Danio rerio: one gene and its partners. The protein of the gene in region 3 purifies or fractionates together with the protein of the main gene of each other region. This does not show direct contact. Links are inferred from orthologs where the notes say so. Each region holds a gene or a part of one and is shown on either strand. Other genes may lie near its edges.

Region 1 (4,078 bases), on a different chromosome or scaffold from region 3:
TATTTCAACTATAAGTTACTATAATTTAAGAAATATATAGATAAATAAAACTTATGCAATCTGCACTCCGAAATAAGTACAAAGACTGCCACCTGGTGGTTCAAAGAGAAAATGTATTGATATGAACTTTTTAAATACAATGCAAATGCACAATATTCAACTTTTTTAAAAAAAGGATACTGATTTATGCAGTCATGCACATGTTGTGATCGCCAATATGCCGGTGATATGTTGCTTCACAAAAGTTGCAGACACCTTCACCTTTATCAAAATGCTTTTTTGATGGAAAATTAATTCATACAGTTATTCCTTACTCCAATTAAAAAAAACTTGAGTAGGCCTAAGCTACTATAATAAAGAAAATCTTCTCTAAATGTAGAACTAAATACATTGATATGCTTTAAAATACATAATGAATACTCTTGACACATGAAAGTGTTAAGCCTGCAGCTCACAACAAACCGTTTACTGCTTGTTTGATGTAATTTTGCTCACATGGATAATTGAATATTATTCAGATGATGTCATTACGCTGCTGTGCCGTCAGCCAATCGTTGCATTGCTGATCATGATTTCGAGGATCGATGGATCTGTCCTTCACAACACATGCAGCGATCTCAGATCAGTTTATCCAGACATTCTAATCGGATTCGCAAACTTGTTTGAAGAACCAAATTAGCCAGAGATCAGTTATCAAGATGAAAAGATCCAGGATCTGCCAAATCATCTTATATCATTTAAGCGAGGTACGAAGAACGGACCCCAGATCTATTTTCAGTTGTTAGACACCCACATGAAAATATACGACAGTAATCTATAGTAAATAAAATTGTGATTTTTAACCATACTGACATCTCCAATAGATAGAGATGTTGCACAAACACCTAAAATATTGCCAGAATTGGTCTTTATGTATGTGTGATTTATATTGCATCACCAAAAATGATTGAGGTCATGTCCATGTGTTGTACGCTCAGTCGTTATATTGATTATTGTGACAGGCTTACTTGAAAATAGTGAAAAAAGAAATACAATAAAAATGTACTGTATTTTTATCAGCTATGGTGAACATAAGAAACATGTTTTTCAAAAGACAAGAAAATCACCTTGTTTCATGGCATATTTTTCTTGAAGAGCAGGCTGAATCTTTTCAATTTGTTTAGTAAGGAAGTCGATTTTGCGTTTAAAGAACTCTTTGCCGTCCTCTACATTCTGAAAAGACAGAAAAGGCAATGTGATTTACTCAGTTTTGACATTTTTACATATACTAAAACTACTAGACTGATTCTTACTCACCTTCTCCACAAAATAACCTGTTCCCACATCCACTAACACATGATCCACATCATGCAGCTTTCCAGGTACATACATCTACATGACTGAGGTTAAGGGAATAACGGACCACTGCAAATTAATTACACACACATCAAACTGTCTGTGTGACTTTCTTATGTGGCATAAATCAATCAGAACTCATTTATAACTCAGCTGTTTAGAGGATACAGAACTGGTGAGAGGGACGAGTAGTTCTTTACCTGAGAGAAAAAGTAAAAAAAAATTAGCAAACGTCAGATTTAGCTAAAAACGTCATAAAAGAGTTTTAAAAGTCACCTTCATTGCTCTTGTTAAGCACATTCAAACTGTCTTTGGCCTCCACATATTTTGTTTGGACGACTTTCAGCTGAGCTATAGACGATGACAGGAACTCTGTTTCCTAGAAAACACATTTTTAAGCAATTTATACAAAATAACGTGTAAATCTACCTTGAGATGTCCCTTTTTGGTGTCTCAAAGTAAATTAACATTATTGCATTTATATTCACAGAAAGCACACTGAACGCAAGCAAAGTGTTAACTTAAATGTTTCAAATAACTTTTGTAAAAATAAAATCAAAAAATGAGTGAAAATCTATCAAATAATTAACAATAATAATAATTTAGGAAATAATGTCAGGGTAATTCAGAGCAACATATATATTTATTTAAAAATGGGAAAAACATAGTACTTATTCTGTACTAGGTATGGGGCGATAACTGTTTGCAAGGTAAACCGGCAAGGTTTGGAATAGTCAAGGTTTTAAACCTTAAAAGTAAAAATTAGTAAAATAAAGGGTTTGAAGGATAGTGACAAATTATGCATGTTTAAAAAAAGAAAAATAATTAGAATTTGGGAGCTACAGTTCAACCTTTAAATAGTTAAATGCCATCAAAATAATCTTGGTCTAAAAATATGGCTGCCCAGAATTTTTAATATATATAAACTATTGTTATGACATTTTTGTTGGGGTCTTCTGTAAAATACAGTAAAATAAATATGACGGTCAAAATAAAACAGATAATCAGGACACATGTAAACTTCAAAAGTTTACTCACAGAAAAACAAAATTAGTCTTTTAAATTAATCTTATACAGATTATAGACTTGGTACCAAAATATATTTCAAACTGTGAACTCGTTAAAATAAAACCAAGTTGTGTTTAGTGAGAACTGACTGAGACACCATTCACATACAATGCAAGTGAACGTCGATAAAGTCATTCTGCATCTCATTTTCTGTCATACGGAATAAATGCAGCCATGTGGACAATCATAGAGGGCTTTTTTTCCGCATTACCAGCAGCAGCAGCACGCGCACAGACAGCATGACAACCGCAGCCCGTCAGTAAATTAATTCACTGACAGAAAAACAGCAGCACCTGATGCTACTCGGACATACGAAACGATGATGTTTTTTATTTTTAACACAATTTACCTGATCAAGCTGAGTTTTCAAGCCTTCTAATTGTGGAAGAGACAATTCAGTGAGATTCACCGCCATGTTGACAATAAAAGAGGGTGAGGAAAACTTCCGGGTCAAGCGGACGCAACTAAAAGGACTTTTACCATTGATTTTTTTCCATTACACACTACAGTCATTTGTTATACTTTAACAAATAAAACGTCGACTAAATAAACTAACAGTGCATTTATACAGCATGTATTAACATTACCTTAAAAAAAAAGGGAGATGACCAGCTAAAACCAGCTTGACCAGCCTAGCCAAGCTGGGAGTCCAGCCAAAACCAGCTATATCCAGCTTAAACCAGGCTGGGCAAGCTGGTTTTAGTTGGATTTGGCTGGTCATTTTCCAGCCTGACCAGCTAAGACCAGGCTGGAAATGGCTGGAAACTAGCCTGGAAATGGCCAAAACCCCTCTAAAACCAGGCTGGTCAACTGATTTTTCAGTAGGGAATGTATTTGATTAGTATGTAAACATGAGTAAATCCTTATTAATCAATTAACAAACTATTCATTGTCAATGCATGTGGTGCACAAATTTCAACTATTTTAAGCCTCATTGTTAAGTATTAGAATAGGTTTGTATTTCAGTAGACATTGAACACTAAAAATACACACCAGTTAAAAAGTGAAGAAAATGTACACAGCTCAAATCCTTATAAAGCTCATGGGCATTCATTAATGTTTGTGTGTGTATGTGTGTGTTTGCCTTTATGTGTTTGGTATTGTCCTGAGTTTTCTCCAACAGGAGTAGTGTGTATTTTACAAAAGCAGAAAATCTCATCTGAAACACTAACTCATGACAGGAAGTCCGTAACACTTGTTTAAATTAATATTTCATTTTTTCAGATTCACCATTAAACCTGGCCGTTCAGCACATAAGAATCACATCAGATCAGGTACGTCAGATATTTGTACGTCTCTGAAAACGCTGTCCCTGACATTTTGAAGACTTATGGGAACACCGATTTCAGTGTTTACAGTCCTTGTTGCCTGTCGGTTTATCCATCAGTCTGCAGTGACAGATGACCAATTCATGTTTTTCCTCCATGTGTACTCCTTTACTAGCACATCCCTCATTTCAGTTAACCCCTGTGTGCTGTTGAGGGTGTTTTCATCCACTCTGGGGTGATTTTGTGTCTTCATTTGGTCAACTTTTTCTGTTTCAACTAGCAGAACGACTTTGGCGACAAATTTAATTTTGACACGTTTTTGGAAAATGCTTTGACATTTTTAAAGAACTTAACGATACACTCTGGGCAATTTTGCTACCCTTTTGTTATGTTTGGGATGAAAACCT
Region 2 (4,092 bases), on a different chromosome or scaffold from region 3:
TTTTCAGCTCTGGGTTCAGGACACTCCAGCCAATAACAGAACAGCCACTACTGGGGAGGCGCGACTAAAGATATTATGGCCCCATCTGATTGATCTAATTTAGATAAACAATCAATGAAAAAGAATGTATATTGCAAATACTAATATTGCGATAACAATAATATTATGCATTTATTTATATTTGTATTGTGAATGAAGATAAATATACTGTGATGTATTTATTCAGAAATGAAGATTTGAAGTGTTGAGTCTGCTCATGATTAGCCCCGGCTCCTCCATCCCACTGAGAAGCAGCCATCATCTCACATTGTGTGTAACTTGTTATTTTCCTCATTCTCTGCCTGACTCATACGGTGATTGTGATGATCATAAATACAGTTTTAAGCTCTTTGCAATCCTCTTGACATGGGAGGAGTTACTCGAACATGCAAGAGCCACATCCAGAGTATGTCCAGATATTTTAAACAAAAGATTATTTTCTTACAAACACTATCTGCTGCCAGTTACTGCTGAGCACAACACATGCAGATTATTAATAGGTTCATTAACATTCATTCATTCATTTTCTTTTTCAGCTTAGTCCCTTTATTAATCAGGGGTCACCACAGCGGAATGAACTGCCAACTTATCCAGCATATGTTTTTCACAGAAGATGCCCTTCCAGCTGCAACCCATCTCTGGGAAACACCCATACACACTCATTCCCACACATACACTACGGACAATTTAGCCTACCCAATTCCCCTATAAGCGCATGTGTTTGGACTGTGGGGGAAACCGGAGCACCCAGAGGGAACCCACACCAACCCGGGGAGAACGTGCAAACTCCACACAGAAACACCAACTGACCCAGCCGAGGCTCGAACCAGAGACCTTCTTGCTGTAAGGCGACAGTGCTACCTACTGCGCCACCGCCTCACCGGTTTATTAATGTTATTTTTTAATTTTAATTAATTTTAATTTAATTTATTTTGTCAGCAGCAAACGTCCATCTATACAGACAGTTTTGACAATAATTATTAATAATTATTTATAAAACTGAACCATAGTTGAACATTTATTTAGTTAGCATTTCCTGTTACGTTTTAGCAGTTTTCTTATTGCTGCGTTTTTGAGTCATTTTTTTTCCTGAAGAGTTTTTTACTTTACTTTACGAATATCAGGTTTGTTTTCCTCGTTGTGGATCTCACATCTGAAGTCGGAGCTGATGGTCGCTGTGAGCCGGAACGAAAATACAGCACAACTTGTTTCCACTCTCAGTCGGACTTATTTCGTCTAGCGCATAACACACGCACAGTTCAGCATGGACGAAAGCGCGCAGCGGGTACTGGAGCATCTGACTGAGGTAGAGGTTGCTGCAGAAGACATACTCACCGACAAACAACAGGTGCGATTGAGTTATAGGAGCAGTCAATTATCGGGTAATTTCTGTTTTATATGTGGTGTTTATTGAAGTGGTTGACATGTGACAGATTGTGGATCTGGATGTGCGGAGAAACAGAAACCGAGAAGCTCTCAGCGCGTTAAGAAACAACTCACCAAACGGCGAGTACAGACTACAGAATACTGGTTTATAATGCATTAATGGCACATATGCTTGGTGTTGGATGCAGTGTCATGCGTATAAAACTTGTACTACGTATAAAGCACATATATAAGTACACGTATCTTCCAAAGTAATAAATATTTCATTTATAATGTGTCAGTAATAGGGTTATTAAGCTTATAACCACACCTAATGTAACACCCCGGTATGTTTACTACAGGTTTATTTTTTGTAATTTACCCTAGAATGTTTAATTAACTTGTTTTACTCATGATTTATCAGTTCAGTTCACTATGTTGTCATTTTAGTTTTTATGGCTTGAATTTTTGCACCTTTTTTTGTGAATATGGGTTTAAAAAATCATCCTATGGGTATCCAAAATCTAATAATTTACTAATATTTAATATGATTGTATTATATATGTAATATTAGGGATATTCAAACAAAGAAAAGTAAGTTATCATGACTCCAACCACTGAAAACACACAACTTTTTTATATTTACAAAGTTTTTTTTTTTTTGGCACATTTGGGCTCAGTCCCTTTAGTCATTAGGGGTCGCCACAGTGGAATGAACTAAGTTTTCCAACTATTCCAGCACATGCTTTACACAGCGGATACCCTTCTAGCTGCAATCCATCACTGGGAAACACCCATACATACTCATTCACACACTCATACACTATGGCCAGTGTAGTTGATCAGTTCCCCTATAGCGCATGTGTCTGGACTGTGGGGGAAACCGGAGCACCAGGGAGGAAACCCAAGTCAACACAGGGAGAACATGCAAACTCCACATAGAAACACCAACTGACCCAGCTGGGACTCAAACCAGAGACCTTCTTGCTGTCAGGCCACAGTGCTAACCACTGAGCCATCATGTCGCCCTAATATAAATTCAGAAAACTGTTAATTATAAATAGTGAAATCATATTAGCAGCCAATGACTATCACAGTCCAGTATTGTTCACAGTCAGCTCAATAGAGCGGATGTTGTTTTGAAGTCATATTTACATGCCATTTCTGACCAAATATTCAAAGTAGCATAATAAACATTATAGAGAGGGAGTCACAAGCTGACACTGTTGAAATGAATGAATGTGTGTGTATAAAACAAACTTTACCTCAATAAACACATATTGTATTTTACATAAGAAGATGTTCAGAACAAAATAAACACAGATTTCTTCTACAAAGAGCAAAACTAATAGATGATGCCATTTGCTCTGTAATCTTATTTTGTTTGCCTAATGCTGGTTCTCATTTGAAGTTTGTCTCTGCACATGACAATAAAATTGAATCCGATCTAATCTAGATAATGTAAAGGTGTGTTTTGGAAATATGTTCATCAAATTCCCTCAAGAAAGCACCAGATCAATGATCCTGAAAGGTGAGTGTGTCTTTTTCAGCTGTGCTTTTGTGTGAATAACCCTTCACATGTGCCACTGTGTTTAATAAATGAGCTGTTCTACTGTTCCTGACAGACCAAGAGCAGCTTGATAAGGAAATAACAGACCTCCGCACACGACTGAAAGCGAAAGTGAACCGTCTCAATGAGCTACAAGGTAGAGCTGCTTCATCAGTCTCTTGCTCAGTCATACTTATAAATGGTGTAAACATCTGTGCCGAAGACAAGACGTGTTATTTAGTCTGCGTCTTAGTATTTTTATGTACTTAAAAAGCATTTATATTAGTGCTGGACAAAGATTAACCACATCCAAAATAAAAGTTTATTTGTGATGTTTGTGTGTAATATTCATTCATTCATTTTCTTGTCGGCTTAGTCTCTTTATTATTCCATGGTCGCCACAGTGGAATGAACCGACAACTTACCCAGCAAGTTTTTACGCAGCGGATGCCCTTCCATCTCTGGGAAACATCCACACACATTCACACACACAATCATACACTGCGGAGAATTTAGCCTACCCAATTCACCTGTACCGCATGTGTTTGGACTGTGGGGGAAACCGGAGCGCCCAGAGGAAACCCACGCGAACGCAGGGAGAACATGCAAACTCCACACAGAAACGCCAGCTGAGCCGAGGTTCGGCCCAGCGACCTTCTTGCTGTGAGGCGACAGCACTACCTACTGCGCCACTGCTTCGCCCGTGTGTGTATTATATTTATATTTATTATATATTTATGATACTTGCATACATGTAAACAAAACTACAAAACTATTTTGTTACATAGATATTTAAATTTATGGCTACACTTTACAATAAGGTTCATTAGTTAATGCATTTACTAACATGAACTAATCATGAACAACACATGTACAGCATTTATTAATCATTATTGAACATTTACTAATGCATTATTAACATTCAAATCCATGCTTGTTAACATTAGTTAATGCACCATGAGTTAACATGAACTAACAATGAACTACTGTATTTTCATTAACTAACGTTAACTAACATGAACAAATACAGTAGTAAATGTATTGTTTGTTTATGTTAGTAAATGCATTAATTAACATTAACTAATAAACCTTATAGTAAAGTGTGACTATATATATATATATATATATATATATATATA
Region 3 (4,092 bases):
TAGTCAAAATAAAACAAATAAGACTTTCTCCAGAAGAAAAAATATTATCAGACATACTGTGAAAATTTCTTTGCTCTGTTAAACATCATTTGGAAAATAAAAAAAAAATAAAAATAAAAAAAAATCAAAGGGGGGCTAATAATTCTGATCTCAACTGTATAAAAATTTATTTGTTCTTAGACATGGATAAATCTAGATATAAAGGGACAAAAAAGTACATTTTAATTCAACCCATGATTTCTCATAATTCCTTTATAAATAGGCTATTAAATATTCCTCAATTGCATAGTTTGTTATTAAGTTGGCCGTGTACTGTTTAAAAATTTTGTGAGTTTAAGTTTCAAAAAATAACCTAGCCTTTAAAATTATAGTTATTTCAAATAAGAATTAGGATAATTATTTACTTTATAGCAGAGATGCAAAAACTAGGGAATGTGGGCCAAAGTTAGAACATGTTAAGCTTTGATTTGTCCCGTCATCCCATCTGAGAAGAGATGGAGAATGATGGGGATGGTTTTGAGGTTGTCAGTTTAAATTTAATGTAGCCCTTTGCTAGTTTTTATTGTTAAAAGCTAATTGAAATTAAGTGTTTCAATTAAATTGTGTAAATTAAATCAGATTTTGTTTAAATGTACACATTGTCATCTGATAATGTAGAGACTTAGGTGAGCAAATCAAGTCAAAGACTAGTGACTAGAGTATTCAGCATTGAACTTCTAAAGAGATTGTTAATTTTTATTGCAATAAATTATCAATTAAAATGTTATTCTGCATTAGTTAATAGGATTTAAAGTGATGTTTTCTATTTATTTTAAAATATTATAAAATGAATTAGGAAATTAATTATCCAAGTCAATTTAAATGTAATATAGTTTGGTATATTTGTTCATACATATTCATGGCGCGTGACGGTATTTGATTTTTGGCCCTTTATACGAAAAGTTTGGCCATCCATTGCTTTAGAGACAACTATTAGTTATTTTTGCTTTTAACTAAAAACTCGCTTCATTTAGATTTTTCTTCCAAGAAAAGCTTCTCAAAGACTTATTGCCAAGACAACGTTGTTTCTTAAGTAAACAGCTAACGTTATCTATATTAAACATACTTTAATGTTAATATTATATATTTAATAGAAAACGAAACAAAATAAGGAAAAAACGCATTTTACACTTCCATTTCCAATGTAAACACCCATATATATGATATAACATGCGAATTCGACATTTAAATCATCAAAAGTATGTTTGTGTGGGAGTAAATCTACGGTTGTCCAGAAGATGTCAGTAAGTGTTGCTAACTAAAATCCTCAAGTCTGTATGGCTGCAGCCCAAAATCCTTGCAACAGCGGATAATTTTAAGAAAACCGACTTCAAAACGCATTTAGTTAAGCCAGTAATTTAGATTCAAACATAAAACTTCATAATTTCTTTGTCAAACGTACCATATTTTCGAAGCAGCAACCGAAACACGCAACAAACACTCAAACATCCACGTGCTCCATTCAGACGCCGTTCAGGCGCGTGCACGCAGCTCGCTTCCCGTTCAAGATGGCAGCCACCATGAAGAAAGGAGTGGTATGTGTTCCCATTATCGGCTTTCTGTCTACATTCACGTTGTTTTGTTGCTCATCCCTGAGAAACGCGTTGGTGATGCTGAAATATCTAAAATATTAAACGAAAGAGACAGCTGAGGGAAACTGAGGACGGTTTATTGTTTATTTTCACCGGCTTGGATGGCTAACGTCATATTATTCGTGCCTGTCTGTTAATGAGTTTTATTGTAATTATTTACATTTACGTTCATCGTTCTGCACCAATCTATCTATCTATCTATCTATCTATCTATCTATCTATCTATCTATCTATCTATCTATCTATCTATCTATCTATCTATCTATCTATCTATCTATCTACATTTAAATTTAGGTGGTTTTAAATCACATAATTGTATTGTCATTCTTAAATATTTCTTATAGATTGACCAGATTAACAACTTGTATATTGGGTTGTTTATTTTGTTCTTTTATATAGAGTTTAGTTTACATAAAAAAGCTTTTTTTAAATGTATAAAATGCTAAGCAAACTTATATTTGTGTAAATCACATCGAGTCTAAACCACAAAGAGTCAAGATGACAGGATTCAAATCAAAGATTTATGATTTGCTTAGCATTTATATTGTAAAATTTTAAAAGTAAATCTAAAGATACAAAGAAATGCAAATAATATGCATATTTAGCAAGGCATATTTTTTGACAGAGCTTACCGAACATCCAAAACAATGCTGAGTGTTTGTGTGTGTCCATGTGATGGTAACTTCATAATTTGAGAGCTTGTGAAACGCTTATAAAAATGTGTAAAGGAGTCAAAACAATGACATGAATTCCTATTTAAATGAAGATTTCTGATGCCTGTGTTGGTTAACATAGCAACTACATTTTTGAAAAGCATTTTTGAGTATCCTGTCATTTTTAATGTTCGCATCTTTATAAAGCACATTTAAAAACAACCAAGGTGGACCCAAGGGCTGTACATAGGAGTACTAAACACAGAGACGAAATCAGAATATAAAAGAAGCATTTAGAAAATAAAACAATAAAACATTGATCAAGGAGTATTAAAGCGAGAGAAAATAGGTGTTCAAAACAGACTTAAACACAGAAATAGAGGGGGAAAGTCTAATGTGAATTGGTGGGGTGTTCCAGAGTTTAGAACCAGCAACTGCAAATGTTCAATCACCTTGTTTTTTAAGGCATGTTCTGGTTACGTAAGTTAATTGAGATCATAAGATCTCAATGATCGAGAGGAGGTATACGGATGGAGCAAGTCTGTAAGGTACTGAGGAGCAAGACTATTGACAGCTTTGTAAACAAATAATAAAATTTTAAAATCAATTCTGTATTTAATGGGTAACTAGTGAAGTGCAGCTAAAATCGGAGTTACCGACTCATACTTGCGGGTGCCAGAGATTAGTCTAGCAGCTGCATTTTGTACCAGCTGCAGACAAGAGAGAGAAGACTGAGAAATACCAAAATAGAGTGAGTTACAGTAATCCAGTGTTATGAAGGCATGGATCATTGTTTGAAAATTTCTCTGAGATAATAATGGCTTCATTTTAGACAGTTGTTAAGGTGGTAAAATCAGGTTTTTACGACAGGACTGATCTCTTTTTAATTCTTAAATTTTCTTTAATTTAAAATTTTCATCAAACATAACACCGAGACTTCTTGCACACTGGGTAATATGTGGGGCCAAAGATCGTACATTGACATTTAACAGAGATTTTACTACGTCATCATGCAATAACACCAGAATTAATTTAAATTAAATCAAACCATAATAAGTAATGCACAATGTTTAATCAAAACTACTGCTTGAATCATAACTTGAGTTTACTTCTATTTTTAAAATATATTTATTATCTGTTTTTTGTCCTGTCTCTCTCATTCTGTTGCACTGTAAAAGCTTCTGTCACGAAAATAAACTCCTCGCATGTATGAACATACCTGGCAATAAAGCTCTGATTCTGATTCTGAACAGGCAGCAGAGGATGTCAATGTAACATTTGAGGACCAGCAAAAGATAAACAAGTTTGCCAGGAACACAAATCGGATGTCTGAACTGAAAGATGAAATCGAGGCCAAAAAGGTAATATTGTGATGCTTTTGATTTATACAGGATATAAGCTGCATTTTACTGACGCATAATCTTTATTGTGCGTAGAAATCTTTACAGAACTTAGAGGATGCCAGTGATGACCTCATGATGTGTGAGGATGATTCGATGCTGATCCCGTATCAGATTGGAGACGTGTTTATCAGTCACTCGCAAGAAGAGACGCAGGAGATGCTGGAGGCAGCAAAGGTGACTTTATTTTTTTTACACACTTTATAGGGCACTCAATACAATATACAGGAAAAACTGTGGAATGTCATTGTGGGCCATTACAAAAATTTAAAACGCTTTTGACTTGAAAAAAAAAGTTGCAAATCTAGGTCAAAAAAGTTACAATAAATTGTTAGGTTTAAACACAGGCGCTTTGTTTACATTCGTTAAAATGCGTTAGTACGATTATAAGTGGACAATGGTAAATAC

The links.
Region 1: the proteins of pfdn4 (region 3) and pfdn5 purify together in Homo sapiens (affinity purification with mass spectrometry; 5 studies listed by BioGRID and IntAct, counting the BioPlex papers as one, with this or other methods). This does not show direct contact. The link is inferred for Danio rerio from reciprocal best matches to the Homo sapiens genes PFDN4 and PFDN5.
Region 2: the proteins of pfdn4 (region 3) and pdrg1 purify together in Homo sapiens (co-immunoprecipitation; 3 studies listed by BioGRID and IntAct, counting the BioPlex papers as one, with this or other methods). This does not show direct contact. The link is inferred for Danio rerio from reciprocal best matches to the Homo sapiens genes PFDN4 and PDRG1.

Annotation. Positions count from the first base shown.
Region 1 is NC_133181.1:42,215,163-42,219,240, forward strand, and holds the start of pfdn5 (prefoldin subunit 5), read right to left. Parts: upstream 2,825-4,078; 5' UTR 2,819-2,824; coding exon 2,753-2,818; intron 1,715-2,752; coding exon 1,612-1,714; intron 1,536-1,611; coding exon 1,504-1,535; intron 1,372-1,503; coding exon 1,297-1,371; intron 1,213-1,296; coding exon 1,107-1,212; intron 1-1,106. UniProt on the Homo sapiens protein: Binds specifically to cytosolic chaperonin (c-CPN) and transfers target proteins to it. Binds to nascent polypeptide chain and promotes folding in an environment in which there are many competing pathways for nonnative proteins.
Region 2 is NC_133186.1:392,390-396,481, forward strand, and holds the start of pdrg1 (p53 and DNA damage-regulated protein 1), read left to right. Parts: upstream 1-1,268; 5' UTR 1,269-1,303; coding exon 1,304-1,387; intron 1,388-1,472; coding exon 1,473-1,545; intron 1,546-2,860; coding exon 2,861-2,935; intron 2,936-3,029; coding exon 3,030-3,110; intron 3,111-4,092. UniProt on the Homo sapiens protein: May play a role in chaperone-mediated protein folding.
Region 3 is NC_133198.1:41,423,378-41,427,469, reverse strand, and holds the start of pfdn4 (prefoldin subunit 4), read left to right. Parts: upstream 1-1,281; 5' UTR 1,282-1,547; coding exon 1,548-1,574; exon of another isoform or gene 1,575-1,578; intron 1,579-3,537; coding exon 3,538-3,645; intron 3,646-3,720; coding exon 3,721-3,861; exon of another isoform or gene 3,862-4,092. UniProt on the Homo sapiens protein: Binds specifically to cytosolic chaperonin (c-CPN) and transfers target proteins to it. Binds to nascent polypeptide chain and promotes folding in an environment in which there are many competing pathways for nonnative proteins.